Sus scrofa: one gene and its partner. The main gene of each other region encodes a partner of the protein of the gene in region 2 in a complex. Links are inferred from orthologs where the notes say so. Each region holds a gene or a part of one and is shown on either strand. Other genes may lie near its edges.

What was found.
Region 1: the proteins of CLTC (region 2) and DLGAP5 are in contact, whole or in part, in a crystal structure (PDB 7ZX4), measured with the Homo sapiens proteins. The link is inferred for Sus scrofa from reciprocal best matches to the Homo sapiens genes CLTC and DLGAP5. Residues at the interface, in NP_004850.1 of Homo sapiens: Val50, Arg64, Pro65, Ile66, Ser67, Ala68, Leu82, Lys83, Ala84, Thr87, Gln89, Phe91, Ile93, Lys96, Ser97, Lys98; in NP_055565.3 of Homo sapiens: Gly833, Asn834, Leu835, Ile836, Thr837, Phe838, Ser839, Pro840, Leu841.

Annotation. Positions count from the first base shown.
Region 1 is NC_010443.5:184,547,225-184,551,238, forward strand, and holds the start of DLGAP5 (disks large-associated protein 5), read right to left. Parts: upstream 2,805-4,014; 5' UTR 2,644-2,804; intron 855-2,643; 5' UTR 854-854; coding exon 616-853; intron 1-615. UniProt on the Homo sapiens protein: Potential cell cycle regulator that may play a role in carcinogenesis of cancer cells. Mitotic phosphoprotein regulated by the ubiquitin-proteasome pathway.
Region 2 is NC_010454.4:35,873,378-35,876,888, reverse strand, and holds part of CLTC (clathrin heavy chain 1), read right to left. Parts: intron 3,105-3,511; coding exon 2,836-3,104; intron 2,275-2,835; coding exon 2,113-2,274; intron 1-2,112. UniProt on the Homo sapiens protein: Clathrin is the major protein of the polyhedral coat of coated pits and vesicles. Two different adapter protein complexes link the clathrin lattice either to the plasma membrane or to the trans-Golgi network.

The sequences.
Region 1 (4,014 bases), on a different chromosome or scaffold from region 2:
CCAAACTACAAGGATTAATTCTTTGCTTTTCCAAGAAATGCCCCCATTGGTAAAGTATCCTTTTGTTTGTACTTCAATCAGTTCTAATTTTATGTCCCTTGTCAGTTTGTCTTGTCAATAATTATCTTACACAAGTTCTAGAAGTAAGAACTTTAGGAATCCTGTAAGGCAGTATAAGCTAAAAAGTGTTATAATATGCCATAGGTGAATGGCTCAAGGGACAGTCACAGCCTTTACTCGGAATAGGCGGTATTTAGCTGTAGAAAACACCAAGTTATTTAGAATAGTTTCCATTCTTCTGGCCAGAGTTTTGTTTTTTGTTTGTTTTTCTTTTTTGTCCCCACCCCCACTTGCCCTGGGGCCATATGGAGTTCCCAGGCCAGGGATCATATCTGAGCCACAGTTGCAACCTACACAGCAGCTGATGCAACGCTGGATCCTTTAACCCATTCTGCCAGATGGGGAGCTTACCTGTGTCCTGGCACTGTAAAGATGCCACCAATGCTGTTGTGCTGCAGTGGGAACTCCTGGTCAGAGTTTTTGTTAAGCTCAGATAGTAAACCAAGTTTTATTCACTCTTCAAGGCACTGAAAATTACAAGAGACCTTTACTTACTTGGCTTGACACCGGACTTTTCTGGAACAAGCTCTTGAGATGTCTCATGTAATTCAAGAATGCTTCTACCTTCCAAGGTTGGAATGTTGACATCTTTCAAACCAAAGTGTCTATTTCGTTCATATTCCTTATGTCTGTTTTCTTTCTGAGACAATGATTTCCTATGAGCAATTTTAGTTCTAATCATGTCCGTACTTAAATCCTTTCTATGTCGACTGGCAAAATGTGATGAAGACATCCTATTAGGAAAAAGAGAGAAAAATCAACTTACATGGAATCTCATTTTTATTATTTAAAAAATTAAGATTCTAGTTCACATCCTATCCCACATCAGTAAAAATGTTAAAATACAAAAAAGAATAAACATGTGACTGAAGAGTGGGAAAGAGGTTATCAAAAGACAGTACAACCCAGAGTTCCCGCTGTGAACTAGTATCCATGAGGATTCGGGTTAGATCACTGGCATTGCTCAGTGGGTTAAGGATCTGGGCATTGCCATGAGCTGTGCTGCAGGTCGCAGACACGGCTCAGATCTTATATTGCTGTGGCTGTGGTGCAGGCCAGCAGCTGCAGCTCTGATTTGTCCCCTAGCCTGGGAACTTCCATATGTCATGGATGTGGCCCTAAAAAAAAACTCTTTAATTAAAAAAATTAAAAATTAAAAAAATTTTAAAAAGATACTACAACCTATTTTGGGGTTCTGAATGAGAACTTGCATGACAGATGATGGCGAAGCCCAGGAAGCCAAGGTCTGGAATATAAACAAGAAGTTCCAGGCTTACCAGAGAGAATGATGCAAAACAGAGTATGAAGTAAAGATGAAAACAGGGAAAAAAAGTGAAGGACAGTATACAGAACAGTTTCCCTAACTTTCTCCTGGTGATGAATGCAGGAAGGCTGACATTTCTTCTCAAGCCGAAAACCAAAACAAACACACAAGATACCTATTATATAGGTAGAAAGAATAAGAAAGACGATGGCCTGAGTTCCAAGAAACCATGGGTCCAGCTGAGGAAAGGAATAAAGAAAAGTGGAAAGTCTACAGGCATCACCCATACAGCTGGTATAGAGAACAACCAAGCCTAACTGGAGAATGAGGGCTGAGTCTCCAAAGAAAAGTCTTGTCAGATTAAAAAACAACAACAACAAAAACAGAGGATATGCCATTAGAAAGTTTCAAAAGATATAGGCACACTATACTCTTCAATAACAACAACTAAGAAAGTCCACTGGAATCCTGAAAGAAAAATTGCACAAGAAATGCAACAAATTAAAATGTTACATGATTTTAAAGCAGTCAACGAATATTTTTTTTTTAAATGACCTGGATGCTAATAACATTGTCATTTCCTGTGACAAAGGACTGTGCTTCTTTTTTTTTGAAAAATGAAGAACTCTACAATTAGATTTTCCAATTGCTGAAAATATCAATTTGCTAAGAAAGATTTTTAAATTTTAAAAAATATGTATTAGTTATTTTAAAATACAGCATAGCACCATATACAGAACTGAAAGTATATTTAATTATCATATAAACCCTAAAAGGTAGTTAGTATAATTACCGTTATACAGATGAGGTAAATTAACTGCTCACATGAGCGCAGCTGAAAGGTAGCAGTTAGAATCCCAAACCAGGGAGCCTGGCTTCTTCACAGTACATCCAAGTTCAGTCTTTGGCTGACTGGAGTTTCTTCCAGCCAGAAAGCCTAGAATGCCTCAGTCTTGGTTGCTTAGAGGCTGTCAACTGAGGCATTTTTAGTTGTCACAGAATCTGGAAGGAGCTACAGGAATAACGACGGGCCAAATGCTAATTACGCCCTGATGGTAAAATGTTGACTGCTACAGAGATAATAGGAACAAATATTTACTCTTCTGGAGGACTGTGACATCAGCTTGGGAAAGACAGGTAACACCGTCGTAAGAGGCGCCTCCCCTGAGCCGCGCGCGTCCAGCTCGTAGCCGCCAGTGCTGACCTTCTAGAAAGAAGCGGACCGGCGCCTTCCCTTCAACTCTCCAGCGTCCACTTACCTGAGGCAGATTTTAACGCAGAAACCTCGACCAAACTAAAAGTGAAGAAACTCTCCGGGCCTAAGAGACCACCGCCACCTCTGAAGAAGAAACGCCCTGAGCCCAAGACTCAGCAAAATTCAAACTTCCCGCACCAAGCCTCTGATTGGAAGTATTTTAACCAATGCTTCCGGTAAAAATGCCCGCCTCTTCCCTCCGACGAGGCTTCCGATTGGTTCGCTCCCGCGATTTTTGAATTGATTGAAAGGGGAACGGACGGTTCGGAGGGAGGGCATGAGCGGAATCAATGGATGCTTCCGGATAAGCTCTAGTTGAGGGGCTGAGCAGTGGGGGTCGCTGAGGCCGTGGGAGAGCTGGAGTGGCTCGTGTTTTCCCCGGGCTACTCCGAATTCGCCCTGGAACTCCTAGGGCCTCGCGGGTATCAGAAAGGACAAAGGAGCTCAGAAGAAGAAAAGGGAATTTAGAGTTTGCAGGACTTTTTAATATCTTTTTAAAATTATATAAGCCCAGAAGAATTATTCGAATATGAACGTTTAGAAAAGCTTAACGCTTTAATGAAAGGGTTGTATTTTTGTTTGTTTTTTATTTTTCCAGGGGGGCGGAGGCCGCAGGTGTGGTATATGGAGGTTGCCGAGCTCTGGGCCCTATGGGAGCTATAGCTGCTGATCTGCACCCCAGCCACAGCGAGGGCGGGGGTGGGGTGGGGTGGAATCTGAGACTTGTCTGCGACCTGCATGAAGCTCATGCCAACGGATCCTTAACCCGCTGAGCGAGGCCAGGGAAGAATACTAGTCGGTTTAATTTCCACTGAGCTGCAAAGGGAACTCCAAGAAAGGGCTTATTAACACTCCATATTTCTCTCTACATCTTTTAATGTTCCTTTTCAATGTTAGCAGCCTTTTTTCCCTCATACTTTTTTTTATAGAAGTAAAAACTTTAAGCATTGAAAAGCATAGTGGTTTTAGTATAAGATTTGATGAGTTTTGCTAAGTGTAAACAACAGTGTAACCACCACCCAATCAGGATAAAAAGCATTTCCATCACCCAAGAGCTCCCTCTAGCGCCCCACCGCTTCGACTACCACTGTTCAGGTTTCTATCACCGTAAGAATAGGAGTAGTAGGTACACTTCCCTGTCTGCCTTCTTTCTCTCAGTGTAATTGAGTTAGGAGGTAAATGGGCCCCTGGACTGAGAAGAGCTGGGACTTGTTTCTCTTTGACACTTCAAGGAAAAAGTTAACTGCAGGACCTGAGCTCTGCTGGAGTAGAAAGATAAGATGACCACTTCAATCACTGCTGGGGTCAAGGGGACCTCCCGAATTAACACGCGTGCAGTAAGACTCCTAGGGGTCAAAAAGGGAGGGGATTCCAG
Region 2 (3,511 bases):
GTGTTTTTTATTTTGCTTAGTCATGTCAGGAATGGACTAAAAAAATAATTCAGTTCCAAAAAGTCATAAGGTCTCATCCTTAATTAGGACGAGTAGCCATACTGAAAAAATTATGTCTTCTCTAAAATACCATGGCAGACTACAAAATATATAGCACATTATATCAAGTAGGCTTAAGACTTATAAACTGGTTTTCAGATACTATAAAAATGATATGCAAGGTTTTTTCCAGGAGTTTTCAAAAAAGTCACAGCTTTATGTCGTAATATATCTAATTTCTAACACCTATTTGTCTTTTTGTTTAAATTCCTTCAATTCAGATCTAAACATCTGAATTGTGTTTTCTATCCTTGTCGTATTGAGAGGCTGGTAGTTGCAATACTTGGTTCGAGGATTCTTACTCTGAAATGTAGGCAGAATTCTACCTCTGTGTAGATGTCTCCTCCCAGCTCAGAGGCTATCAATTACCATATTTTAAACAATCTCTCTCTTGATTTTTAAAAACTACTTAGCATGGAAAAATATTAAGACTTCAGAGCTTCTACTATGGCAATGAGAACGTCAAACTGAGCTTCCAGGGGCAGCAGTGTTAACTCTGGCATCCAGCATTGCAATCACAGCAAGAGCAGGTCCTCAGAGTTCTGTAGCAGGACTTGTGGCTGGGGCCCTGGCTGTTGACATTCTCCCCTAATCCTTCCAATTTTCCAAGTTTGGTTCTAAGCCTTCCTGGCTATTGTAAACTATTCATTATCCTTTCATTAAATTTTTTATGCTCTAATCAACCAGACCTTGTTTCTGTTGTCTGCAACTAAAAACCCTAACATACTAAGTACTTCAATTTGTCCAGGTGAGGAGTTCCCGTCATGGTTCAGTGGTTAACGAATCCGACTAGGAACCATGAGGTTTCAGGTTTGATCCCTGGCCTTGCTCAGTGGGTTAACGATCCGGCGTTGCCATGAGCTGTGGTGTGGGTCGCAGACGCAGCTTGGATCCTACGTTGCTGCGGCTCTGGCTTAGGCTGGCGGCTACAGCTCCGATTCGACCCCTAGCCTGGGAACCTCCATATGCCGCAGGAGTGGCCCTAGAAAAGGCAAACCGCCCCCCCCCAAAAAAGTGTCCAGGTGATTTTGTTTTTAGGGGCCGCACTCGCAGAATGTGGAGGTTCCCAGGCTGGGGTCCAATCCGAGCTGTAGCTGCCAACCTACACCATAGCCACAGCAACGCGGGATCTGAGCTGAGTCTGCGACCTACACACCACAGCACATGACAACACCAGATCCTTAACCCACTGAACGAGGCCAGGGATCGAACCCGCAACCACGTGGTTGCTAGTTGGGTTCCTAACCACTGAGCCACGAAAAGAACTCCTGTCCAGGTGATTTTAATGCATAGTCAGGGTTGAGAAGCTCTGACTTAATAAGGCAATAGTACGGAAATTGCGGTCCACATTTTACCTAGTCACCTAGAGCAGTTAAAATAGACATTATGAGCTCTACTTACTGAATCACTCTCTAAACAGTAGGCACACAAACGTACATCTTAGCCATGGTACTGATTCTTTTTTTTTTTTTTTTTAAGTTTTGTTTTTTAGGGCTGCACCCACGGCATGTGGAGGTTCCCAGGCTAGGGGCTGAAACAAAGCTCTAGCTGCCAGCCTACGCCACAGCCACAGCTATAAAACCTCCAAGCCGAGTCTACAACCTAAACCACAGCTCATGGCAACACTGGATCCTTAACCCACTGAGCGAAGCTAGGGATCGAACCTGAACCCTTATGGATCTTAGTCGGGTTCATTAACCACTGAGCCCGAAATGAACTCCATGGTACTGATTCTTAAGCACAGTTAAAGGTGAAAAGCATCGAGTTAAGGCCTTTGGTAAAGACAATGAAAATAAAGCTTAGTATAAACAGCTGATACAAAAAAATTGTATAAAATAAGGAATATTCATTTCAGACAAGCATCACTACTGAAACAGAATTTAAACAAATTAAGTCACCACAAATCAATGGTAAAAAAATTAACAAGACTTTGAAACTAGATGACAAATCAATTAGAAGCAGAAAGACAGAAGACAATTTCTCATTCAAATAATTTCCAAAGGCAAAACTTACCTTCCCTCCAGCCTGACCCCGTACTGCAAAGCAAAATAAAGTTGATTCTTCTGCATTTCCTTCCATCTTAAACTGTGCAAAGCTAGCTGCATGTCCTTCAATGGGCTGAGACACTTTCCTATCTACAGAATATAGCTGCATAGCTCCCACCACACGATTTTGCTGCAAAAGATCAAACAGAATAAAGTTTGGGGAACCAATGAACCAACTCCCAGATTCATCAACTACTGTAACAACTGGAATGCTTTATTATCTTTAGACAGATTTACAACTCCTGGTTAGTCTCTTAATGTAGATTTGATACCTCTTAATTCATAATTTAGCTGCAAACATTATCTTATTAAAGCTTAACATGAATGTTTAAAATGTGCCTTATATACAACCATCTCTTTACATTACCTTTAAAAAAAAAAAGAAAAAAGATACAGGAATACTCATTCTGCAGTAAATATCCACACTAAATTCCAAATCATTCATACAGGAACTCAATATCCACTCAATATGCAAATAAGACCTAAGAACACCTGGTAAGAATACTCTGAAATATACGTTAGTATACCGGAATTAAGCCAGCAACCTTTAGTTTTTAAAAATGAAAAGAAAGGGGAAAAACATCTTCTAAAATAAGCCAGATTTGCAAAGAAGACCTAATTTCAAAATAAACTACATTCTGGGCACATTAATTCTCTAGACATTTTCTTTATTAGAAACTAAAAATGTTACCTGTGCAGATATGCCAGTCAGAAGTAACCACTTTTGCTTTGCATCAGTACGATAATTGATAATCTGGCACCCTGCAAGGCTAGAATGACGATCAAACATTTTCACTGGCTGAGACTCTCCTTCCATACTCCAATGATAAACTGCATTATCCGTAACAAGAGCAACGGTATTCAAAGAGATCCATTTCCAGAAGGTGACATCATCAGTCATGGTATGGGCTTTCATTTTACTTTTCATTTCAATGTTAAATATCTGAAGAGTTTTCCCAGCTAAAAACAAAAGTAAGATTATGAATCACCAAGAAAGCAAAGTTCAGGATAAATTAATATCTAGTTAGACTAGACTATCTCTGCAACAACTAAACCTGCAACTTCCAAACAAAATGTTTCTATCATGAGACTAATAATCAACTACAGAAGTCACACTGACAGAACAGCAATCACTGAAGGATAGCTGAGAATGAGCAAACAATTGACATCTAAATCTGAGGCAAAACTATCACCTCTAATAAAGACATTTTAAACAGATAGTATGACTTCCAAAGAACTCTAAATCCCAACTAAAAATGAGTCTAAAGAACAGCTCACTTAACAGAAAACAAGTTGCGATCTTCTTACTTAAGGATGCTTACCCATAAACTAAGTTAGTGAGTGATAGTACAGAGAACGAACAAATC